Cricetulus griseus: one gene and its partners. The protein of the gene in region 5 interacts with the protein of the main gene of each other region in a pairwise test. Links are inferred from orthologs where the notes say so. Each region holds a gene or a part of one and is shown on either strand. Other genes may lie near its edges.

Region 1 (4,112 bases), on a different chromosome or scaffold from region 5:
GGCTGGACATAAACTAATCCCAGTGTTAATGCACACAGCAGCACTGAGGAGACTGGAGGCAGGACGGGGCCTCTAGCCACTCCCCTTGCTAGCCCACCAGTCAGCTGTGGTCTTTCCAGAGCTCATCCACCCCAATAGAGCCATGCTGTTTCCTCTAACTCACAGAGCAACACACATAAAACAAACAAACAAACAAAACAGGTGAGTCCTCTCTCTGAAAGAAGCTACAGGTTTTTGATGTTTCACCTTGCTATTTACTTGCTGTTAAACTGAAAATTGACCATTTTCTATTCATGTGGTTCACATAAAAAACAAAACAAACAAAAAGCCCCTGTCCTAGATACTGTATTTCATTTTGAATAAGACTGAAGAAATATGGTGTTCAGTAAAGGGAATCTTGACTCTCAACTCACCAATTCTCCTGAATCTTGAAGTGTCTATCTTTTAGCATGACTAGGATCCCCTTCTGTCAGATGTCAGGAAATAATTTGTTTTATGTAACTGTTTGAAACGAAATCCTAGTTCACTCTAGCTTCCTTTTACTGTGTTAACTGCGTGTTAGAATGACATCCTAAAACCACAAACACAGACTCCTGCATGTAGGATGCAGGCCCTGGCATGACTCATTCAGGCAGAACAGCTAGCACCCCAGGCATCTACTCATGCACACCCCCAGACAGTTCAGGGCTTTGGGGGAAACACTGGAAGATCTGAGTTTACAAAGCCCTTTGCATTCTTCTCCAACAGCTACAGGAACAGTTGTCATCAAGACCAATGCAGGTTTCTGTACTCAGTCTTGATATCCAAAGCACTGTGCCTGCCCTCAGAGGCTTACAACTACACAACAGAGGCAAACATAGGCAAGAAGTCAGCATCTCACCAAACTACTCTGAAGTTCTGACTATGTAAAATAAAGCAGAGGGACATTCAGAGCTATGAAGGAAAATGGGGTGGGGGGGGGGGGGGAGGAGTAGATAATTTGGCTTGGATTTTCTTTGTTTTTGAGACAGGTCTTTCTATATTGTCCTAGCTATCCTGGAACTCACTACCCAGGCTAGGCTGGCCTCAAACTCAGAGATCTGCCTGCCTCTGCTTCCCAAGTGCTGGGATTAAAGGTGTGTGCCACCATGCCTCGCTTGGCTTGGATTTAAGAAACTGCCCTGAGTGACAAACTTTGGGTATTAGTGAGTAATTACTTTTTTGGGGGGTGGGGGGTGGAGATAGGGTTTCTCTGTGGCTTTGGAGGCTGTCCTGGCACTAGCTCTTATAGATCAGGCTGGTCTTGAACTCAGAGATCCGTCTCCAGAGTGCTGGGACTAAAGGCGTGTGTCATCACCTCCCGACTACTGATTACTTATCTTAAATGTTGTTAGTAACATGAAAACAAGTTCCTCACTTTCACCAGCCCAACAATCCATTTTTTATGTTTTAAACATTTCTTTCTTGGGTGTGTGCATAATGTGTCCACAGTACACGCCTAGAAGCCTCGAAGGTGGGAGTCAGTCATTTCCTTCCACCATATGAGTTCCAAGGATCAAACTCAGGTAGTCAGTCTTGGTGGCAAGTACCTTACCTGGTAATCCATCTCACCCACCCCTAAGACTTCCTAATAGCTGAAATCAAAAAATGACAAAATAATCTTCCTTCAAGTAGACATAACCAGTAAATAGCAAATAAGGATATTTTCAGGCTTTACTAAGCTACAGGTCACACTACCTAGCATTTGGTTCTTAAACTGGGACATGATGAACCTCTGAGGTCAAAAGGAATGTTTGGGAACATAGCTTGGCCCTAAGGCTACAGTATGGGTGACAAGGAGAAATACTGTCTTTCTCAGAACTGCTCAAGGCACACGAAGAACCCTGTCTAAGCTATGGTTCCTCGCTCTGAAGAACAGGTTATTTCAGAACATCGCCTTGCCCAGGACCACAGGTAAGGCTCCACTGCTGCAAACACAGAAATATGAAGCCTGAAACAGTGAATTATTTCTGACTTGTGCTGCCTTAAGAGGACAAACATAAGCAATAAAGCCAGGTAAAACCGAGAAAAGGTTTAGAAGCCTGGTCCTTTGGGGGATTTTGCTGTTGGTTTGGTTTTTATTTTTCCTTCTTCAGCAGGGTACTCACTTCAAAGGCCAAAAAGGAACGATCAACCAGCTGAGGCTAGGGGGTCTGGCTTCCAGGCGCCTCTGGACAGAATCTTCTTTTGAAGTGTAGAGCCGCCAGCGGCTCTTTCCCGGCCCACTGGGCTGTGCGGAACCGGTCTGCGTCCGTCCGAGAGCGCCGAGAGGCCACGTAGATCCGCGAAGCCTCGGGATGGAGAGCAGCAGGCTCAGAGGCCGAGGGGTCTGGACGGCCGCGGCGATGGGCAGCCGCACACAGGGACCCTGGAGTTTGGGGTCCGAGGAACGGGAACGTCACGGGTCGGGGGACTGGAGAGTCCGGGGCCAGGAAGCTAGGGAATGGGAGGGACGGGGCGCGGGAGGAGGCGGGAGCCGTGGAGTCGGGGCGGAAGACTGGGGGTGTCGGACAGTCGGGGTGTTGGGGGACCAGGGCCTAGGCCCGCAGAACCCAGGGTTAGAGGACCAGGGACCGGGTAATCTGAGAACCGGAAGGTCAGGGAACGGAGGGTACGCGGGTCCCGGGTGTCCCGGCCGCGAGCTCACCTGCTGCCCTCCGGGGGTCGGGCCAGCCGAGTTGCCAGGCTGGACTGGGTGTTCAGAGTCCCCCCCACCAGCAGCCAGCAGCTTCCGGCTACGTCGCGCTTCGAAAGGGCTCATGGGAGGCCTGCGAGACGTTACTTCCGCCTCCTGCGTGAGCTCCGAAGCGCGCCTGTCTTCCGGTCTGTCCGGACCCTTGGGCCGCGCGCTGAGTTTGCAGGGATGCTCCGGCGTGGCCTGTGCCGCATGGCAACGCGGAGCGCATGGATCCCCGGCGCAGACCAAGCCTGAACCCGAGCCAAGGCGGCCCGCGGCCACTGTCAACTCGAACCGCGGACCAGGGTTTAAGATAGACTGGGGCCAGCTGTTCTGGTCAAATCACTGGCGTTAATTGCTGGTGTTTTTTAGTTTTGTGTTTACTTGGGGCCTCTCTGTGCCACCTATTACTTCCTCACCGGCTGCTTGACTTTCTTTTCTGTTTTAGTTTTAGTTTTTTTTGTTTTTCGAGATAGGGTTTCTCTATAACCTTGGCTGTCAGCCTGGCCTCGAACTAGGGATCCGACTGACTTTGCCTCCCGAGTGTGTGCGCCACCACCGACTGGCTCGTTTGCCTTTCAGATTAACCAAGCGTTAATGTTTTTGTTGAGGTCAAACCAAACCTGCCTGCATAGTACCTACATACGGTTGGCACCTGTACCGCCATCAGTGACAATGCGTCCCTTCTTACATCTGTTGGAGTTTCTGTGTCACAGGTTCAGAACTTTGTATAAATAGAATAACGAAAAATGTAGTCTTAGATGACTTATCCACAGCCTGATTTGGTGACTTTAGACAGGCTCTCACCCTGAAGCCCCGTTTAGCCTAGAATTCGAGGTAAGCCTCTGCCTCCTGAGTTCTGAGATTAAGGGCATGAGACACCCTGCCCAGCTTCATAGAATGGTGTTTTGTTGTTGTTGTTGCTTGTTGTTGTTGTTGTTGTTGTTTTTGAGATAGACTGTCACTGTGTAGACCGGGTGTTCCTGAACTCACAGATAACCTGCCCTCTACGGGTGTATTCAATGGCCAAACACAGAGGACAGAAAGCTCATAAAGACCAAAATTAAGCCAGATATGATGGCTCAACCTTCCACCTCCTATATACTTAGACACCACCACCGCCATTGGTGGCTGGAATCTTGAGTAAAGGTCTTGTGACTCCTCTCTTCCGTCATTGGGCTGCTCTGTTTATTTTGTTGATCTGGCTGAGGCCCACAGTCTTCTGTAGGCCACCATGGTGGTTCTCCATTATTGTGATGATCATGCCAGGCCCATGTGACACTGCAACATAAATAGCAGAGAAGTAGGTAGAGCCTTGAGCGCAGACCCTCAATGATGTGGGCCAGCATGGTCCAGAGGGTCTGGTGGCTCCCAACAAGGGTAGCAGGGTCAGCTGAAGAAACATCTAGAGCTTACA
Region 2 (2,383 bases), on a different chromosome or scaffold from region 5:
TATACTTCACAACTAAACTGAAACTTTAGGGTTTTCTTGTGAAGCTGACTCCGGCTGGGTATGGTGGTGTGCACCTATAATGGCATTAAGGGAAGGAAGGCTGGGTCATGGCTCACCTGAGGTATATAGGCAAGAGCCTGTCTCTTTATAGAGAAACAAGAGCAGTGGGGCTATGGCTCTCAATGCTCTGCTCTGCTGTGTGGGACCCTGTCCTTCCACTAGATTAGACTCAAGACAAGAATGCTTGTACTTAGTGCCCTCTGGAGGCAGATGGATCTCTGGGAGTTCGAGGACAGCCAGGGCAACACAGAGAAACCCTGTCTGAGGAAAACAACAAAAAACAAGCAACAACCAAAAAGGCAGGAGAAAGCTGACTTCTGTTCTCCATACATGAGCTAATGCAGCCATATTTTGTACTCACTTTTTTTTTAAAAGCATAATTTTTTTAACACAAGGCTGAAATTACAGGTATGTGCCATCATGTTATACATGATTAAATTAATCTTGCTATAGTTTATAATCTGGATATTAACTAAAAAATATTTTATCATTTTATATGTATGGATGCTTTTCCTGCATATATATCTATGCCCAATACATGTGCCTGGTACTCAGATACCAGAAGCGGGCACTAGATCACCTGGAACTGAAGTTACAGCAGTTGTGAGCAGCCATGTAGGTGCTGGGAACTGAACCTAGGTCCCCTGCAACAGCAGCTAGTGCTCTTAACAACTGAACCATCTCTCCAGCACCTGAATGTTAATTTTTATCTGGTAATCTGTTTGGAATTACACTGTGTAACATTTCACTTGAGGTGACTTAAAATTTTGTTGTCTGAAATGCAATAATTTAGTTCCATTAATTTTTTTTTTAAGAAACAGAATCACAGGAAATAACATAAAATAACAAGTACTATTATTCTGCTTGTCATATCTGCCACTAATTATTGCTGGAGAATCTTCATTAGGTTTCCTTAAAAAACAACCCAGAACACAGATTACATAGACATTACAGTTCCTCCATCAACTGCTAGTACGCAAGCAGAGGCTTTACCGTTTCAGGTGTACCAACAGCACAGGCGGCAATTTCCAGATCTCTATCTTCTTTAGAGAGTCCCGCCGAGCTCTGCAATGGCTGCAGTAAAATCTGTTGTTATCTGTGAGCTTTTCTTCTTTGGAAAATAATCTAAGGCAGTCCTAGTGGCAAAAAAACACACTGTGAGCAGTGATTTACTTCCTCATGGAGTTCCAGGAAGCCCTCTTCAGTAAGAGTGCTGCAGACGCACGGACACCTTCAGAAGGTGGAGTAAGTGTCTGGATATGGAGGGACGTCACCAGTGTTGCAGAGGGTCAGCATAGCACACACAAGGACCTCTATCCTGGGTATGGTGGACTTGGAGGAAGTGAAGACTGGAGGTATGAACACAAGCTATTCTATTACTTACACTGCTGTCCTGTGGAAACCAGTATGTCTGATCCCCAAGTAAAGTACATCGAAACAGTAGATCTATGGTAATGTCAATTACAACTTCCTAAGTTAGCTTTCAAAACTAATTAAAAATGCAAACTTTTGTGGATGGGGGTTTGGCTGAGTGGTGAAGTGCTTCTCCATTATACACTGGCTCTGCATTCAATGCTGCCTGGGTCAGAAGCCTGCACCTGACGACATTGCCTGTACTCCCAGCACTGTAGAATCAGATGGAACAGTTCAAGTTCAAGGCCGGTCTGTGCTTTATGGCAAGATCCAGTTCAAAAAGTCAAGGGCTACAGGCTAGAGAAATGGCTCAGCTCTTGCTGAAGACCTGGGTTTAATTCCCAGCACCCACATGGCAGTTCACACCTCTGTGGGCACTGCATGCAGCTGGTGCCCAGAAAGGTACTAGCAAAATACCCATACACATAAAATAGTAAGACAATAAAAATCCCCAAGGGCTAGGATGTAGCTCACCTATTTTCCTATGCGGATGAGGCATTTTGCTATGCACACACAAATAACATTTTTACCAACCCATTATCTCTTCATCTTAAACTTACCTGTAATGTGCATTTACTTGTGGATGCTAGCGGCAATGATAAATACATGAAAGCCTCAAATGTCCGAGACTTTTTGTGACAGGTGAGGCACTGCACTGTGGATTTGAACTGACCCTGAAAAAGTGCGACAATGATGGATTCATTGAGCTGCTTGTGCTTCTGCCAAGCATGTTCTGCCGCTTTAAAGTCATCGAGGTGATCGTTGTTCTCTTCCTTATGCCTCTTCCGATTGTCAGCCTAGGAAGGAGAACAACTCACTCAGTTCTGTTAGTATCTAAGAGTTTGGTGGTATTGACAGTTAAATATGACATTCAAGGAATGACATTTTACAGATTTAGCCACACTGAAGA
Region 3 (3,963 bases), on a different chromosome or scaffold from region 5:
TCATGGCTTCAAGCCAAATAAAAGAGAGCCAAATGCCATGAGACATGACCAGAAGCTACTTTGGCATTTTGCTTTAGAAATCATATTAAGTGGCTGGGGAGATGGCTCAGCAGTTAAGAACATTCACTGGCTGTTCTTCCAGAGGATCCAGGTTCAATCCCCAGCACCCACAGGACAGTTCACAACTGTCTATAACTCCAGTTCCAGGGGATCCAATACCCTCACAAAGACATACATGCAGGCAAAAAGACCAATGCACATGAAATAAAAATAAATAAAATAAAAAAAGAAATCATATTGCAAGCTGGATGGTGGTAGCGCACGCCTTTAATCCTAGTACTCGGGAAGCAGAAGCAAGTGGATCTCTGTGAGCTTGAGGCCAGCCTGGTCTACAAAGCACATTCCAGGACAGCCAGGACTATTACACAGAGAAACCCTGTCTCAAAAAACAAACAAACAAAAAAAACAAAACAAAAACAAAAACAAAAAAAGAAGTCATATTACAGAACATACTATATCCACAGGTATAGTCTTTAGAATGAAATGGAAACAATGGCTGTATTCATGTGGACTAATGTCACACCAGGCTTTTTTTGGATCACCTAATCTAATCTTCACAGCCATCTTTTCAGTTAGATCCAGTTCATAACCACATTCTCAGACAACAAAATACAGTTCGAAGAGGACAAGGAATGTGCTTCAGAGCTGTAGCTTAAGCTGTTCTTTAACTATTGGAAATCCAACTACCTTAGCCTCCCAAGAGCTGGGATTGTAAGCGTGTACCATTATGCCAATGGGCAATAATTTTAACTTTTTTGAGATATAGTCTCATGTAGCCCAGGCAGGCCAGAACTTGCTATGTAGCAGAGGCTGCCCCTGAACTCCTGATCTTCCTGGCTTCACCTCCCAAGTGATGGGGTTACAGCATGTGCTACCACGGCCAACTAAATTTTAATATGCAAGCAAGCCCACGTGGGTTTCTTAAAAGTATCTCTTGGTATCCTAACACTGGCTCTTTAAAAGGAGCCTCTTCCCTTTTGTTGTTATTTCTTGCTTTTTATTTTTCTTATTTAGCTGCATCTTTTTGATGAATTTAAAGAGACTACATATTGGTGTGATTAGAAGAGAAAGCAGTAACATATGTATTTTTCCACCCTGCCAGCTGCAGATCCAATCTTGTGTGTGATAACAAGTCCTTACTAGTCACAGATCAATCTAAATTTGAAAAAAATCAAGAAAATAGCAAAGTAACAACAAACTGGACAGTGCTTGGAAGCTGTCTCCTCTTTCTTACACCCACCAGACATTATCACCCCTAACTGACCATTTCCTTCACTAGAAGGCTATAAAAATTAGGACTCCCACCATCAAGACCTAAAATGCCTGAATTTTGTAAAAATGCTGGAACTTTCTATGCCAAGACCTAAAATGCCCGAATTTTGTAAAAAACGCTGGAACTTTCTATGCCGTCAATTCAGGACTCCTGCCTGTGCTCATTAACAGATGTTTCCTTAGAGGTAGAGGTGGAGACCAGACTGAACTCCAAGAGGGGTGGGGAGAGTCCACAGTGACACGACAGCCCTTTGTACTCTGCAGGTTCCACCCTACTCCGTCATCCTAGGGAAGTGGTCACCTTAACCCTGTGTATCATAACAACACTGCCAGCCACACACTAAAAGTTATACACTATAGTGGGGGTGGGGTAGGGGCACTTACAAGAAAAAAAAATTGGAGAGGTGACCCTCAACCTCCAAAGGGATGAAGGTGAACTTTGACGACTTCCATAGGCACACAGAAAGCTGGCAGCTTAGAAGCTGGGAAACGGGATGCTAACAAAGGACAACTGGGACCAGTATCCAACAGGTCCCCAGCCCTGAACAACACTCAAGACAAGGTTCATGGTGGGGAGAAGTCCTATCCCAGAGCCCAGAACATTTAGTGTTCTGACCCTCAGACACGCTTCCCCATGGGTCTAGGTGGCTGTAGTATTCACCCTTAGGTCACGGGAGGCAGAGTATATGTCTCCCCAGGTTTCTCAGAGCCCAACTATCTAACGGATAGACAGACACACTGCTCCCTCCACCTCACCTTGTCTGTGTTTCTGAATCAAAGTGCTCTGGTCTCCAGACCTAGGTGCCCCCAGATGCCAAGAAGCGGCTCTCTCTGAGCCCCCAGGTACTGACCTCTGATAGTGGACACTCCTAGAGGCTCATACCCCAGCCTTCTCTGTGCCCCTAGACGCACTGGTCTCCTGCCTTAGACATCTCCAACTACCCCCAGGCACTCTGCCCTCAGGTGGTGGACATCCCAGATGTCCATGCCCCAGCCCTCTCTGTGCTCCCCAGATGCTTTGCCCTTCGCTTCTGTATATTCTCCAGATGCCCATGTCCCAAGTCCTCCCTGTCGGCTAGGGCCTCTGGCCAGCTCTCACTGGACCCCGTACTCCATTGCCAAGCCCCTGGTGTGCGCCCCTTCTCCCGCCCCTCGCTGGCGAAGGTTGGGGAGCAGCGGCTGCCAGGCCCACAGTGCGACGTGTCACAGGCCGGGCGGCTCCTCCCACGGCAGTGGCCACACCGGGGTCCAGCAAGCCGCGGGATTCCGAGCTCGCCAGCGACTGTTACCTTGTTAGTAGGCACCGAGCGCAGGCGCTTGAAGATGGCTAGGATGTCCTGCTTGCTGGGGTCCCCCATGGTCACCGAAAAACAAGGTGAGGCAGTCCCCGACAACCGGGAAAAGACAAGGAGAAGCGGTTGCCGCCTCCCGGAGACCGAGGGGAGGGGCTGCGCGTGACGAAGGCCACGCCCCTGCCGCGCCCGGGCTCCGCCCACAAAGCGGGCGCACGCGCAGTTCTCCCTCGCTCTGACGCTCCAGCGGCCCACAGTGTGAGCCCTTCTGTGTTCTAACCTCTAGGCCCGCGCGGCAGGCGCATGCGCGGAAGCTCGCTCGCCCCCCGCCCGCCCCCCCTTCTTCTTCTTCGGTCCTTCACAGTGCGGAGCAGAAACGCCAGTTTTTGCTCAGGGAGCACCGCGCTTACCTACCGGACTCGCCAGCATCTCGCTGCCGGCTCCTCCCACGGCGACAGTCTCACATCCTTCCTACAGGGTGTCAGAACCAGCGGGTTCCATCCTCACGGGATCCTGGAGAGAAACAGTGGAGAAACGTTTGTACTCAGCTCAAGCCAAACACTGAACGAAAGTCTGTGCTGGAAACTGCTGTTCCATTTTCTCTCTCCGGTGAAGCTAGGCTAGTCTAGTTCCCAGGTTGGACTTGAACTGGAGATCTTCCTGCCTCGGCTTCTTGCGTTCTGGGATTACAGGTCTGCACTGTGCCATAACGGTTTGGTAATCCTGTAATTATAAATTGTCTGTTCGGTCAATGGAGAGAAAGTGCCCGCCTCTAGGCCACAGGTTCTGTCGGGATCAGAACATTCTAAGTCTAGAAAGATCAGAATCCTGTTTAGTGCCTGGGGCGCCATCTAAACCTTGGATAACATTAGTAGCTAGAAGGTCTGAGCTCGGGAGCAGGTGTCTTTTACAAGGGCCAGCCAGCGTGGAGCAGCTGGCAAACATTGCCTCAGGTAGGGCACAATAGAAGAAAAACAGGTTTGGGTGTCAAATGCGCCAGCTTCTTCCCGTTTCAGCTGGCTGCTTCTCAACCACGTGGCTTTAGTAATTTCCTAGCATTCATTTGGACGAAGGAGTTGGAGATGAAACGTGTTGACTGGAGCAGCACAGCAGCTTCCACGACATTCTGGAAAGGGACTTGGTGTGAAGTTGGGAATACTTTCCCTGCCTGTCTACACACCCTCAGGGAAGTTGGGACCTCACAAAAGCTGTACATTCATTAGCTCAGAGCTGGACCAAAAACACCAAAAAACAACGAGAAAAAACCCCCACATGGATCAAAAAGACAGTAGTAAGGAGAAAGGACATCCAGACAGGGTGGGAACAGTTGGGTGTTAGG
Region 4 (4,193 bases), on a different chromosome or scaffold from region 5:
CAGAGACCTATGGCCCCCATGCACGTGCACATGCATGCATGCGCGCACACACTCCCAAGCACACAAAATTCTAAAACAAACAAAAGCTAAAATAATAAGAGTTCAGGGCCAGCCCAGGCTGCAACAATGGGCACATGAGCAGCCGTCTCAAAAAAAAAAAAAAAAAATTCTTATTTGTATTTGGTGTTTTGGTGGGGCAGATGACAAAAAATGGTATCAGGGTCTTACTCATCCTAGGCCAGTTACATACTAAGCCACCAAGGTGAGACACACATCTCTTCAAGCATTTTCCTCAGAAATTCTACACAATCTGTAGGCATTTCCACCCTCCTCCTGAGATGAGGTAGGGAATCAGCTATGCATTTTTCTAAAGAACACACTAGCAGTTACATTGTACATCTGCTTGGGGTTCTCCCCTGGCTCTGGCTCGTTGTGACCATGGTTAGTGTTCCATTTGCATCCAATGTAAGCAGCAAATCTGCAGATGTGGACCATATTCCCCTTAGAGCAGGGGGTCTCAACCCCTTTGGGGTCAAATGATCCTTTCACAGGTTCTTGTATCTGATAGCCTGCATATCAGATATTTACATTATGATTCATAACAGCAAAATTACAGTTATGAAGTAGCAATGAAGTAATTTTATGGTTGAATCACCACAACATGAGGAGCTGTGTTAAAGGGTCACAGCATAGGAAGATTGAGACCTACTGCCTTAGAGGAACCCGGAGCGGCCTACTAACACCATGAGCTAAGTGACCATTCACATAGAACTCACTCAATTGTTAGAGTCCAACAGACAAGGTTTCCCAGTCTCCTACAGCCCGTGTGCAGGCCACTACAGCAACATTTTAAACCACCTACCAAATGCTACTGAGGAAATGCTGTTGGGACCCTATTTTTTTTTCTTCTCTATTTGTCCTCTCCTTGCCTGTTTTCAAACAGAGGCTCACTATGTAGCCCAGGCTAGCCTCAAACATGTGATCCTCCTGCCTCAGCCTGCAGGGAATACAGATGTGTAGAAAACACCCAGCTGATCACAGGTACAGAGATTGAAAAACTTAGCCAGGTGGTGGTGGTGAACGCCCTTTAATCCCAGCACTCAGGAGGCAGAGGCAGGTGGATCTCTGTGGGCTCAAGGCCAGCCTGGTCTACAAAGTGAGTTCCAGGACAGCCAGGGCAACAGAGAACACCCCCCACCCCCCGGGGGTGGGGGGTGGTGAACTGCCCAAAGTCACAGTCATGGTGACCCTGATGTTTAACAGAAAGCAGGGGGTGGCGAGGGTATGGAGGTATGAGGGTGTACTTTACACAAGAGAAGGCAAAAGCACTATTTTGTGTAACAAGAGTGTGCCTCTCAGGTTAACTGAGAAAGGTTAGCTGGAGTGGGGGAGAGTTAGGACCTGAATTCAGGTGTGGGCTGTTAATTAAACTCCAAAAGCTGGCTGTAACAGCCAAGTCAAAGCAAACTTAGACCTCCATGTTTCCTTTTCACCATGTGAGTGGGACCTGAAGACCCTGAAGTTGGATTTGATTATGGCCCCTCTTGTCCACAGCCAATTGTTACTGAGCCTAGAGGTCACCCATAAAACTTTCGTGGTCTAATTGCTCTGTATCACAAACCCTCTGTAACTTACATATTCACCATCACTCCCACTGCGGCGGCAGGAGCAGAATGCAGGTGTAGGCAAGTGCTCTACCCTTTGCTATCCCAGCCCTTGACAATTTCCTTTGAAACACGGTCACGATCTGCACTGCACAGGCTATCCTCAACTGTAGTTCCTCCAGCTTTTCTCTCCGCCTCCAGAATGGCTGACATAACCACAGCCAGCTATGTCCACACCTTTTAAAGAGGAACTGACATACAAAGAGCCATACCGAGGCTCACTTACTGACGTGGAATCCCCACATCCCGTCTCACAACAGAGAAGCCCCAAACCCGCATCATCCACGAAGGCGGCCAATTAATGCTCTTGCCTTATACAGGGTGACGTTAGAGGCGTGGGGGAAGTGCAGCGTGGCCACAAACAGGTGCACATAGTCACTGTTGAGTCCACCCTCGTAAATATTCTCTGCGATGATCTTGCTGGCGAAGTTTTTGCCCGTGCCTGTCCACCCGTGCAGAGAGAGGGTAAGGGGCTTCTTGGGCTTCGGGTTACTTAGGAAACCAGACACGGCGTTTAAGATGACTTTCTTTGCAAGATGCTGTCCAAAGAGCTTGTTATCCAGATCCTTCTGCAGTGCTGGGAATGGAAAGATCACTCTGGTCAGGAGAGAAGCAAGTAGGTAAAATGAAGCCCCGTTTCCAGGCTGTCAGAGCCCCGAGCCTAGTGTGGAGAGCGCTGAAGGACCCTGGTGCGGCGAACCCTGCCCTTCCTAAGGCCTGGGCTTGGGGGTGTTCCCAAAGCCAAGCGGAAGGAAGAGACGCGGTGAGGCCGCCCCGGTGAGCTCCGCGCAGGGCTGACACCCTACCCCGGGCCCGGCAACTCATCTCTTAGGCCTCGGACCAAAATCCGGCCTGGCCGCGGCACCATCCCCCTGCCGCCTGGCGCCCGTCCCTGGTGCCCGCCTACCCTCCCGGCTGAGGCTCCGCTTCTGGCCGCAGCACTCGGCAAAGAGGCAGTAGAGGCGCGGGTAGGAGATGTAGCCGGTGAGTACGCCGGCCAGGGCCAGGCCCAGGCTGATGGGTTCCACCGCACGAACCGCGCACGGCGCCAGCAGCAGCAGGGCCAGTGAGGCCCGGCCTAGCTTCATGCCCGGACCCGCGCCGCTTGCGCGTCCCAGCGCCCACCTTACCCAGCGCACCGCCCAACGCGCGTTTCCGGTTCCTGCCTGCGGGACAGCCCTCTTTGTCTCGGGCAGGCCGTCCAACCAATGTAGCGGCTGCCATCTTTGTTAAGGGTAAAGCTCTTCCTGCCTCTGAACCTTGAGGTTATAGGAGTCAGGTGTATTTGCTTCCCCCACCCTCATCAAATAACAATATTTTAGGGCAGTTTTTAAACAATGACGCAGGCATCTAATGAGGTGCACATAAACTCCTGTAGGCATACACAATGTATAAATGAATACATAAGAACTGTGAGAATATAATGAGTTCCCATATGACAACCCCATCCCCACCTCTGGTTACCTATTATTAAAATCTGACATTTGGTCAAGGTGCTATGGGTGGTGTGCGCCTTTAATCCCAGCACTCTAGAAGCTGAGGCAGGTGAATCTGTAACGAATTTGAGGCCACCCAAAGATACATAGTAGACATTTGAAGGCTGGGTATTTTGGCACTCTGAGTTGGAGTCACCCTGGCCTACACAGCAAATTCTAGGGGCAGCCAGGGTTACACCGTGAGAGCCTCCTTTCTAAAGAAATAAAAATTTGACATCTGTATATTATACTTGTTAAAATCCATGAACCACTATATTTTTGTTTGTTTTTGTTTTTCGAGACAGGGTTTCTCTGTGTAGCTTTGGAGCCTATTCTGGCACTCGCTCTGGAGACCAGGCTGGCATCGAACTCACAGAGATCCACCTGTCTCTGCCTCCCGAGTGCTGGGATTAAAGGCGTGTGCCACCAACGCCCGGCTTTTTTTTTTTTTTTTTCCCCCGACAGGGTTTCTCTGTATAACAGCCCAGGCTGTCCTGGACCTCTCTCTGTAGGCCAGGCTGGCCTCGAAATCAGAGATCCGCCTGCCTCTGCCACCTAATGCTGGGTTGAGGGCGTGCACCACCACCGCCCCAACCACTATATTAAAGCCCACACAGTTCATCCAGTTTCTTACTTACTTAGGGAACCCATCTAGCTCCCCCACAGTGCTGATTCCCCAACTCCTCTTGGATTCTTCCGACACTTGCCTTGTTTTTTAAATGACTTTGAGAGTTTTGAGGAACACTAGACACTTGGGGGACACTGGGATGAACCCCAGGGCCAAACACTATCATGGAGCTTTACCTCAGACCTTCTACTTCTTGTTTTATTTCATTTTAAAAATTCTTTGAGGTGGGAGAAACAGTGGATGACAGGATTTAGACTCAGGTCTGTACAAGAATGACTCTTAACTTGTTTGCCATTTCTCCAGCCCCAAACTTTGTTTTGAGGTAAAATCTTTATAACTATTCCAGACTATCTTTCAACTTCCTATATAGTGCAGGCTGGTTTTGAATTTGCAATCATCCTGCCTCAACCTCCTAGGTTCTGGAAT
Region 5 (4,055 bases):
CTGAGACAAATTGTAGCCCAGATTATTTCTAATCCTTCAGGCTAATTATTGATGATAGTTTTATATATTTGGTGAAAAATAAGAGGAAATCATGTTGAGTGGAATAGCTTATTTAATAAAAATCAAGTTTCCTAAATATGAAAGTGCACTTGGTTACACATTTCCACAAAAGCTCTGCAAAGGAATTGTACTTTTATGAACTACATTATTTGTGGAAAAGGGAAGGAAATTCAAAGACATTAACTTCCTCAAGATCCTAAAGGTAGAAGTGATGTAGCTTGTATTAAATTTATGTTTGTTTGATAAGTTATAGCCCAATTCCCTTTCACTTTTTTCTAGCCTATAAGTTAACCCCAGCTTCTTGTTTTGATAAATAAAAACTGAAACAGCACCACACTGGTTATTGCCCATGGTTGCTTTCACACTTTAACAGTAGACCTGATTATCTGAGACAGATTGGCCGAAATAAGTTTGAAAATTAACAAAAGTTGACCAAAATCTTAACTTAATTCTTACCTTTAGACCTCACTTTTCATAGTAAATTCTATGCATGTGTTTGGCTTTTTTTTGTTTGTTTGATTGGTTGGTTTTGTTGAGACAGGGTTTCTCTGTATTGCTTTGGAGCCTGTCCTTGAACTCTGTAGACCAGGCTGGCCTCAAACTCACAAAGATCCACCTGTCTCTGCCTCCCCAGTGCTGGAATTAAAGGCATGTGCCACCACCACCCACGTTCAGCTTTTAATTAGACTCCAGAACATAACCAGCAATTGATTAATTATATATGTATTAAATATAACAACATTGATAATTTTAGTAACATTAGACTTATTGAAACATTATGCTTTTTACATAATTGCCTCGCAGTGAACAACAAAATTAATCTTTGAAAAATCTAATCACTTTATTTGCCTAAACTCACAATTAACAATAAAACATGAAAGTGTTCTACTTGATAAGATCTGTTTATTAACTAGAAAGAATAATAAATTAATATTCAGTAACTTCTACATTTGCTTAAAATTAATGCTCTAGCTGGAAGGTGGTGACACATGCCTTTAATCCCAGTACCAGGAGGCAGAGGCAGGTGGATTTCAGTGAGTTCAAGGCCAGACTAGTCTAAATAGTGAGTTTCAGGACAGCCAGAACCATAAGAGAAACCCTGTCTCAAAAAAAAAAAAAAAATTAAAAAAGAAAATTAGGTGACTAGTTGTCTAAAAAGAAGAAAGATAACATTCACTAAGTAACTAATTAAAAAATGTAGTCATGGGTCTATAGTTGCAGGATGTGGGAGACTTTGAGGCCCTGAAAAATCTACAAATAACTGATTTTATATTCTGGATTCTATCAAAAACATTGACCTCACTGTTCCCAAAAGAAGCACTTGACTCACACCTTTCTCTTTTAATATTCATTTCAAGACTTTCTGAAAGGTTGTTTTGAGGTGGAAAGGGAGTCAACATAAAAACAATCTATGAGGAATGAGCAAAGGTGATATGCTAGAAACTTTGAAAGTTCATGAAAGGTTTTTTCCCACTAATCAGTTAGAGCTGGAGCGCCAGCACAGCTTCCCACTTTTGGTAAGTCTCAGTCTCAGTGTGTGGCCTCTCTGTCACCTCTGCCACTTGTCTGTTCCATTTCCATCTTAAGGTTGACCCTTTGCCTTCTACTGAGATAGAGGCCCCCTAAGAAGGTAGGGAAGCTCAGAGAAGCACAGAGGGGGCAGGTGAGTCATGCATCCTTGCTCCCTTGTGCACCTGGGTCTCTGCTGGAGATGAATGTGCATGCATACATATATGTCTTTTCCCTCCATCAAAGTACTGGAAGTGCAACCAGTTTAACACAGGGAAAGCCAGTAAACAGTGTTGACCTCTGTCTCAAGGTTTACACTTAGGCACAAAAGGCACCGAGTATCAACCTCTTGCTCTTTCCTGTGTGCATCATCCAGGTGATTACACAAACACATCTGAGGTTCCTTGAGCTTCATCTCAAAAGGGAGATCCACTAAGAACAACTTGCCTTTTTTTTTTTTTCTATTGGGGGACCAAAGTAGGTGTATTTTCACAGATATTAAATACAATCATACTACAGTTTTATTTTTAAAATTGCAATTAACAAGTATTATCTATGGTGATGATGAAAGAAGCCAAAGTCCCGTGAGGGCCTGGGACTCCTCTTGTTTTGTTTTGTTTTGTTTTGTTTTGTTTTGTGATGGGATTTCATGTAGACTGGACTGACCCTGAACTCACTATGTAGCTAAAGATGATCTTCAACTCCTGACCCTTGGGCCTCCATGTCCCAAATGTTGGGATTCCACATGCCACCATCCTGCTGCTGTAAATGGGTCTGATTCATAAGCATATTCTTAGTTATTTTTCATGGGTTGCCAGTTTTAAAAATCCCAATGTGCTCACACACACACACACACACACACACACACACACACACACACACACACACAGAAACATGGAAAACCCTAAGTAAGCAATAAAATTAAGTATTCTAAGGAAAGAAAACATTGTTCCCATTTGTTTCTGAGAGCTAACAAGCAGATTCACAATTCTCTCACCTCCACATACCTGTCACTCTCCTGAGAAGCAGCTATGTGCATGAATCAGACACCACATGCCAGCACTGAGTGATTAGCCACTCCAACTCATCAGTCACGGCACCACTACCTACCTACATAGAGGACTCCCTCTTTTGTCTTTCCTGCTGCTTCTGCCACACCCTGCTTGGTTTTTTCAGCAGCAGCCACAACTCCTTCCTTGGCCTTGGAAAGTCCTTTCATGAACACATCCATGGCGAAAGATGTCTTTTCCTCCACTCTAGAGAATACACAATACACTTTGAATTAAAAATTTGAGTAAAAGAAAACAAGATTAAAGCAGCTAGAATGGGAAGAATTTTTTTAAAAATCAAGGAAGAAATCACTGAAAAATCAGTAGAGACCCCCCCTCCCCAATCTCTGTGTAAATGAACACTCGTTTTTTTTGTTTGTTTGTTTGTTTGTTTGTTTGCTTGCTTGCTTGCTTGTTTTGAGGACTGGGCATGGTGTTGCTTGTCAGCTTTTTCACTCAAATCTAGGAAGAGTCAAGCCACTTAAAGATGGGATGGATCCAGATGGATCACCTGGCCATTCTTACAGCAGCTGGAAAATGGAGTTACATGGCAAGATGGGTGGACTCTACCCCATCAAGTTCCCAGGGCCTAAAGGCGACATTCTAAGTAAAAAGCTTGTCTAGAAAACCAATGGAAGGGGGTACTGAAGTCGGGGGCAAGGGTAAAAGGACTCAGAAAGGGGTTAGTAAGTGTTTAGTCTTAGGAGAGGGGAAGGAAGGGAACTGCTTACTTCAAGATGAAGGGAACAGCACGCCAACTGTCATCAGCCCAGCTGTTCAAATCTAACAAGACCTTCCACCCACTGCTAGCTCTCCAGTCTGTTATCTGCCCGGAGCAGGCGCTGTCCACACACTTGAGCCGGCTCACTTCAGCTCTACCCAACCTGGGGGCCCTGTCCTCAACTGGAATCTGCTTGAAAACCCTGCACCCCCGTGCTCATTAACCCCTTATCACCTGTTGCCAAGTGCCTTAGGCACTTTTATTAATCACTGGCCAAATGTAGCCTCCTTACACTCCAGATAAGAGATAGAACGTGCCCGGGGTGGGGGATGAAAGTTGGATGCTCAGGTTTCTCCCAACGCCCAGCGCTCAGCTTCCAGGACCCAGCACCCAACACGAAACACCCTGGCGTTTCCGCTCGAAAAAGCAGATGCCACGAACAGCCTGGTTTCCCCTCGGGCTTTGGGAGAATGGAAGAGCACGTCTCTAGCGCGAGGAAAGCCAAGTAATGTACTTTCAATGCACTGGCCGTGTCCCCACCGCTGAGGTAGCCTCAGCTGGAGATCTCCCAGGCATCGGGACTCCTCTTAGCCAGGGTTCTCCGGGATCCCCAGAGCTGCTGCTATCTACAGGTACTTACCGGCGCCCTTGGCTTCGCAGAATTCAGATTCCTCCTCTCTGCCCCTGATCTTATTTCAGTGGCAGTGGAAAGGAAG
Region 6 (2,175 bases), on a different chromosome or scaffold from region 5:
TCCTCGCCTCACACTACAAGATACCATAGCATCGTTTCCATCTGATCTTTGGCTTCTGGACTTGGGTCTGGCAGCCCTGGATTATGAAGGAGAGGATGGATTTTCTAGCAGTTGGTGATAAGTCATGTTGTGTGGCCCCCTCTCACACTACTGCCTTGTTCCAGTACTGTGTCTCTGAGGAAGGGGAGGGAAGCCTGCTCCTGGGGAGTGTTCTGGGTGAGGCTGCTTGGGGTGGGGGAGCAGGTGCTCTTGGGATATGACCTGAAAATTCTGAGGTCACTGCCTCTTCTCCCACCAGCATCGGATTCTGTTGGTTGTATCTACTTATTGATTTCAGAAGGTTCAGGCCTCTTAAGTCCCAAGGGGCCTCAGGGGCCAGTGAGACCCTCAGCTGCCAGCTCAGCCTCCTGAGAAGTCAGAAAATCAAATGAGAGGGAAAGGCAGAGACCACGCCTCACCCCTGTGCACAGGGTGCAGTAGAAACTGCATCTCACAGTACCTAGTGGAAACAGCTTTATGTGTTATGAGTGCCTCACAAACCAAACCAAACGAAACACAACAGGAAAAAATAAAATCTTGAAAACTTAACATTCAAATGTGATGTGTATTTACCTAAGGAATATTCTAGTGTGTTTATTGTCCTTCGCAAAAGGTTCTGCCTGTAGGACCACTGGGTGCATGGGACTCCCTGGGACTTAGGGGGTAAGTACACAGAGGTGTCTCCCTTTCTGATGGAGGGTCAGGCATGTTCTCATGTGGCTGATCTAGAAATGCCGCTTCTATAAATATTCCATAAATATAAACCCGGCCTGCACTGCTGTTAGCGTTGGAATAGCATCATGGGATTGTTTCTAAAAACATGCCCTTTATAGGCACTTTTTCTATTAAGTTCACAGTGAAGACAAATGCATGGGCTAAACTTCCAGGCTGCAATATGAATACTTCAAACCAAATTCCAGACTTTGCAATAATTTCAGGAAAAAAAGAGTAATTTCTTTCTAAAGTTGCAGGTAATTAAGCGAGTGGAAGTAGGTTCCACTTTGATGCCCTCACTGTAATTTAAACAGTCTGCATTCAAATTATGTTTTCCAGTTTCTCACTTGGTTGATAAGTTGATTTGTATGCCGCCGAGCTGTCATCTCATCAGCACCATTTATAAAGATAGGATTCTTGGGGATAAACAAATATTTTTGACTATTGCCGGGGAGGGCCCCCTGGGAATAGGTGATTGCTGAGTAAGAACACTGTCCCTCACATCTCGAGTGTGCTCTTGAGATTCCACGGCAGTCTAATTTACACAGAGCGTGGCAACAGCCTTGGAGAGCTGTGGCTTCGCCTAAGGCTTCTACATGGATTTAGTGAAGGTGAAGTCGGGAAATTAAACCTGGAAAAGCCCTCCCTAGGGCTGGATTCCTGCTGGGATGAGAAATCCAAAACAAGGGGCTACACTCTCTTCCCAGTGTTGGATAGTTGCATATGCCAGAGGCCCGAAAGTGCCTCTCACTGGGTGCCTAGTGGGTGCTGCTGGCTTCCGTGGGTGCCTGTGGAAAGGATCTAGTGGCCGAGTCTGTAATTTGCAGTCTGTGTTTGTGCGTGTGCATTGTATGTGCTTATATGCCCAGAGACGACGAAATGGCTAAGAAGGCAGGAGTCCACGTGTTTCCCGTAAGGAGGTGTGGTCAGGGGCAGTGCCTGAGTGTCTGTCTACACGTCGAACCAGTGATCACCCATGCAGGCTCGGTTCCACTCACAGCCGCAGTTCCAGCACCACTCCAGTCTGCACTGAGGCTGTGGACACTTCATGTGCATACATCCTCCTGTGGGTACAAAGGATACAGGTGCTGTGGGCTTGTGGCAAACACGGGGAGCCCTTGCCCCCATGCCATCCCAGAAATGACTCTTGTAGCCAAAAATCCCCAGCAAGGAGGGCAGAGAGACTCTGAGCCAGGGGGAATAATCAGAAACAACAGGAGGCAACATCCCCCTCCCCCAAGTGAGAAAAGATAAGATAATGACATGGACAAAGGGCTCTTTGCCTTCAGAACAAATCCCATTCACAGTCTGAGTTTCTCATCTTTCCCTCATGTGCTCAGACATAAATGGTGTGTTTCACAGCCTGCTGATTCTTCATTAAAAAAAAAAAATAGAGCCATATTAAACTCATGATTTTCAAAT
Region 7 (3,553 bases), on a different chromosome or scaffold from region 5:
AAGAAAAAAAAAAAAAAAAAGAAAAAAAGAAACCCTGTCTTGAAAAACAAAACAAAGAGAGAAAGAAAAAAAGAAAGAAAAACCATGAGAAAAAGGCAATTCTATTTTAAAGTAACAATTCTTGTGACAACAAATATCTGTACTTCCTCACAAGAGAGGATGGGATCCTGCAAGATTCTGAGGAGTTTGAGGAAGATCCTACCCCCATGGTCTACCAGACCTTACCAAAGAGATAACACCTGCAAAACTGTGGGGCTGACTACTTCCAGAGAAATGCGATCTAATTTTACGTTAATCTTCCAGTTTTCATGGAAATTGTAAGAGTTGCATTTATTTCCCACAATGTTGTAAGCCCATGGAGAGGCCTAACTCAGACCTTCACCTGAACCAAACACCCCAAACAGTTCTCAGAAGTAGAATGTTAGCAACTGAGAGAGATTTGATCAAGCAAATATAGCTTAGCCTATAACTGGTACAGAAGGGCTGCTGCCTCAGACACATGCTGGAAAGGACACATAGCCTATTAAGCACATTTTTAATAAGTCTGGGCCATGCTGTGGCAGGGGCTGAGCCAGAGCATACGAACACAGCAGAAGAAAGAAGGTTCTGGGACAGCACTCTTAGGGATCATGGTAGTTCCCAGACACAGGGTAGGTAGAGCATTTCAGAACCACCCTGGGACCCAAGTCAACCACAGGTCTCACTAGACCACAGGCCTCTCCCTCAAGATATAGGAAGGGTCAGACAGGAGACTGGTGGCCTGGCCCCAGTTGAGGGTTGAGGGGCATGCTCAGAATTCCTCATGCACATTGCGGGCATAGTCCATCAGCTTGCTGCCAGTGAAGAACTCGCTATACTTGAGAATCTCCTCAGGCTCCAGGTGGTGATTCTGGTTCTCGTCGGCAATGGCGATCATCTGTTTGGCTTCATTGAGGGCATTGTATTCATTCATGGGGTCCATGTAGTTCTGTGAGATCCAGACATAAGTCAGTGGCCTATACCTGACACCCTACCAACAGAGAGGCCCTGTGCCCACAGCCCCCACACCTACATACTAGCCCAGAGGTCACTTAGGATGTAGCTCTGTTATAGAACAATTAATTGTTTAGCATGTTTAGAGGTCCTGGGTTTCATCCTGAGCACCAAAACCAATTCCCAGATGCCTTCTACAAACTAGGGAGTTGCTTTCTAAAGGCCAATAGCCCATAGTCAGCAGGTTTCACAAGACTTTCCCATCTCTTCAGTCTGTGCACTAACGCCAATGCCCATTGTCTCAGGTCATCACGTAGGCAAGCCCCCTTTACTTTGGGACCTTACTGTAGGATTAGCCCACCGCCTCCAAACCCAGGGTCATTCCTGGAACACACCAACATTCATAAGCACCCCTACTCACCTCCAGCTCCTCCATGGTCACAATCCCATCATGGTTGGAATCAATCAGTTCCTCAAACTCTTTTCTCCTGTCTTTCACCCAATTGTCATCAATGTCTTGGCCTTGCTGGTTCTCAACAGTGCCCACTGGCAAGGAGATGAACTCAGGCAGAGACAGCTGCTTATCACCATCCTGGTCTACAGATAAAGGGTTGGAAGGAGGTAGTGTTCACCTTGGGCTTTACCTAAAACTCACTGAGTACCACTGAAGAACTTCCTTAGAAATCAAAACAGGACAAGCCCACCTATCCTGGGGCTTGGTACCCCTTGCAGCAGTGTAGTGTTCCCAGCCCATTGGTCACCCTCAGGCCTAGAACAGTGTCATAGTGGGAACACGCCTTACCCAAGTCCCGAACAATCTCCTTGACCATGAACTTGAGCATGCCCCGGCTGTGCTCAGGGTGAAGGAATGAAAGGAACTCCTCCTCAGTCAGCAGCAGGTCTGCAGGTGGATTGTCGGCCTGATACCAGCGACCTTTGAGGTTCTCAAGGACTTCCTGTGCTGCGAGAGGCACATTTGTGAATACCTAGGCATGCTGGACACTAATGCAAGCACCCACAATGTTTTACTTGAACTCAAGAGGGCTGTCATTTGCCAGGCTCAAGACTAAGGGTGCTAGCCCACCTAGAAGAGCCTGGTCCTTGGGAGGGGACAAACAGAACCCCTGAATACTGCCCAACCTGCCTTCCCAGCACACTCCAAGCTGTTTATTCCTCATCAGAAATGGAAATTTCATCAAGACTGAGGCTGACTCACCCTTATTGACGTCTATAGGAACAAAGGTGTCACTTTTGTTCCTTTCTCTGTTTTTCATGTGCATTATCATTCGGAGAGCATAGAATGCAGAAAACCCAATTTCTAGAAATGACTGAGGTAGTGAGCAAAACTTCCCATGGACTCTAGAAATGATTGCCTATGCATCCTCTCACGTCTCCCATGTTCCCAGGGCAGAAATGAATCCTTCCCCATCTGGGACTCAACACAGTCAGTGACTATGTCCTATTTGCCTAGGCTTCCAAGTCGCTCAGCTCCAGTAACCCTAAGTGTCCTTGCCTGCCTTCACTGACTTACCCAAATTGTCCTGAGTCTGACTCTGGGGCTACATCCTGACTGTAGCAGCCCCACCATGACCCATTAAGTACCTGATCACCACAGACCGGCCAAGTGGTCTTCATGCATAGTATTTCCTGTGTTAATCTAACCTTACTAACAGAACTCTTTCAAAAGAATAATGGAGAATGGGACACACTGGCAGAACCCTGTAGTCCCAGCTGCTTGGGAGGCTGAAGTAGGCAGCTCATTTGAATGATTGTCACTCAAACAGCAAAAATAAAAATAAAAACAAAAAAGTGGCATTATACAAAGGAGATTATAAAGCAAAGCCACCCCTCCAGAATGCTACCAAGTGCTCAGATCACCTCAGGCAATCAGAGGCCCTTCGGTGGGCTGAGGTCAGGATGTGAATACACATGTTTTAATGATAAATGTCCCTCATAGTCTAGGGCACTTGAACACATGACCCTTGCAATGCTATTTTGGGAGGTTTAGGAGGTGAGGCCTTGTTGGAGGAATTATATTACTTGGGGCAGGCTTCAAATGTTTAGTCTCACTCACTTCAAACTCATGCTTGAAGTTTAAGATACAAGCTTAACTTCCTGCTCCTGCCACCATTCTGAACACTCTGGAACCACAAGCCCAAATAAAGTCCTTTCTGTGTGTTGCCTCAGTCATGATACTTTATCATAGCAGAAAAGACTAATAGAGAAGTTGGCAACAGACAATAGGTGCTATGAAGAACCCCGACCTGTTGGTTTGGGGAAGAATGTGGGAGATCTAGGAATTTCAGACTCAAAAGGTGTGTGAATGCTATAAGCAGAGCTTAAAGGGCCATTATAGTAGGACCCTGGAAGACAGTAAGATAGGAGCAATACTGTCTGTGGAAGCCCAGATCAAAAGGTTTCAGAGGGAAACAATATTAGCAACTGGGCTAGAGGTCATTTTGATGATATTTTGGCAAATAATCTGGCTGCCTCTTGCCACTGTCCTGAGAATTTGCCCAAAGCTAAATTTAAAAGTAATGGAATAGAAGTTAAAGTGGTTGTCCAGTGATTAAGAGCACTG

The links.
Region 1: the proteins of Snca (region 5) and Arfgap1 interact in binary tests that used the Homo sapiens proteins (3 or more experiments, as listed by UniProt). The link is inferred for Cricetulus griseus from reciprocal best matches to the Homo sapiens genes SNCA and ARFGAP1.
Region 2: the proteins of Snca (region 5) and Usp8 interact in a two-hybrid assay, tested with the Homo sapiens proteins (2 studies listed by BioGRID, with this or other methods). The link is inferred for Cricetulus griseus from reciprocal best matches to the Homo sapiens genes SNCA and USP8.
Region 3: the proteins of Snca (region 5) and Arfgap3 interact in binary tests that used the Homo sapiens proteins (3 or more experiments, as listed by UniProt). The link is inferred for Cricetulus griseus from reciprocal best matches to the Homo sapiens genes SNCA and ARFGAP3.
Region 4: the proteins of Snca (region 5) and Tor1a interact in a two-hybrid assay, tested with the Homo sapiens proteins (2 studies listed by BioGRID, with this or other methods). The link is inferred for Cricetulus griseus from reciprocal best matches to the Homo sapiens genes SNCA and TOR1A.
Region 6: the proteins of Snca (region 5) and Prkn interact in binary tests that used the Homo sapiens proteins (3 or more experiments, as listed by UniProt). The link is inferred for Cricetulus griseus from reciprocal best matches to the Homo sapiens genes SNCA and PRKN.
Region 7: the proteins of Snca (region 5) and Sdf4 interact in a two-hybrid assay, tested with the Homo sapiens proteins (2 studies listed by BioGRID and IntAct). The link is inferred for Cricetulus griseus from reciprocal best matches to the Homo sapiens genes SNCA and SDF4.

The regions. Positions count from the first base shown.
Region 1 is NC_048599.1:936,678-940,789, forward strand, and holds the start of Arfgap1 (ADP-ribosylation factor GTPase-activating protein 1), read right to left. Parts: upstream 2,801-4,112; 5' UTR 2,780-2,800; coding exon 2,666-2,779; intron 2,387-2,665; coding exon 2,127-2,386; intron 1-2,126. UniProt on the Homo sapiens protein: GTPase-activating protein (GAP) for the ADP ribosylation factor 1 (ARF1). Involved in membrane trafficking and /or vesicle transport.
Region 2 is NC_048599.1:51,763,963-51,766,345, forward strand, and holds part of Usp8 (ubiquitin carboxyl-terminal hydrolase 8), read right to left. Parts: intron 2,271-2,383; coding exon 2,034-2,270; intron 1,197-2,033; coding exon 1,054-1,196; intron 1-1,053. UniProt on the Homo sapiens protein: Hydrolase that can remove conjugated ubiquitin from proteins and therefore plays an important regulatory role at the level of protein turnover by preventing degradation. Converts both 'Lys-48' an 'Lys-63'-linked ubiquitin chains.
Region 3 is NC_048595.1:380,240,332-380,244,294, forward strand, and holds the start of Arfgap3 (ADP-ribosylation factor GTPase-activating protein 3), read right to left. Parts: upstream 2,801-3,963; 5' UTR 2,691-2,800; coding exon 2,622-2,690; intron 1-2,621.
Region 4 is NC_048599.1:142,681,273-142,685,465, forward strand, and holds the start of Tor1a (torsin-1A), read right to left. Parts: upstream 2,801-4,193; 5' UTR 2,753-2,800; coding exon 2,572-2,752; intron 2,242-2,571; coding exon 1,976-2,241; intron 1-1,975. UniProt on the Homo sapiens protein: Protein with chaperone functions important for the control of protein folding, processing, stability and localization as well as for the reduction of misfolded protein aggregates.
Region 5 is NC_048601.1:81,915,809-81,919,863, reverse strand, and holds the start of Snca (alpha-synuclein), read right to left. Parts: upstream 2,801-4,055; coding exon 2,680-2,800; intron 1-2,679. UniProt on the Homo sapiens protein: Neuronal protein that plays several roles in synaptic activity such as regulation of synaptic vesicle trafficking and subsequent neurotransmitter release.
Region 6 is NC_048595.1:288,897,095-288,899,269, forward strand, and holds the end of Prkn (E3 ubiquitin-protein ligase parkin), read right to left. Parts: intron 1,818-2,175; coding exon 1,705-1,817; 3' UTR 501-1,704; downstream 1-500. UniProt on the Homo sapiens protein: Functions within a multiprotein E3 ubiquitin ligase complex, catalyzing the covalent attachment of ubiquitin moieties onto substrate proteins. Substrates include SYT11 and VDAC1.
Region 7 is NC_048595.1:303,830-307,382, forward strand, and holds the end of Sdf4 (45 kDa calcium-binding protein), read right to left. Parts: intron 1,934-3,553; coding exon 1,775-1,933; intron 1,570-1,774; coding exon 1,394-1,569; intron 968-1,393; coding exon 791-967; 3' UTR 501-790; downstream 1-500. UniProt on the Homo sapiens protein: May regulate calcium-dependent activities in the endoplasmic reticulum lumen or post-ER compartment. Isoform 5 may be involved in the exocytosis of zymogens by pancreatic acini.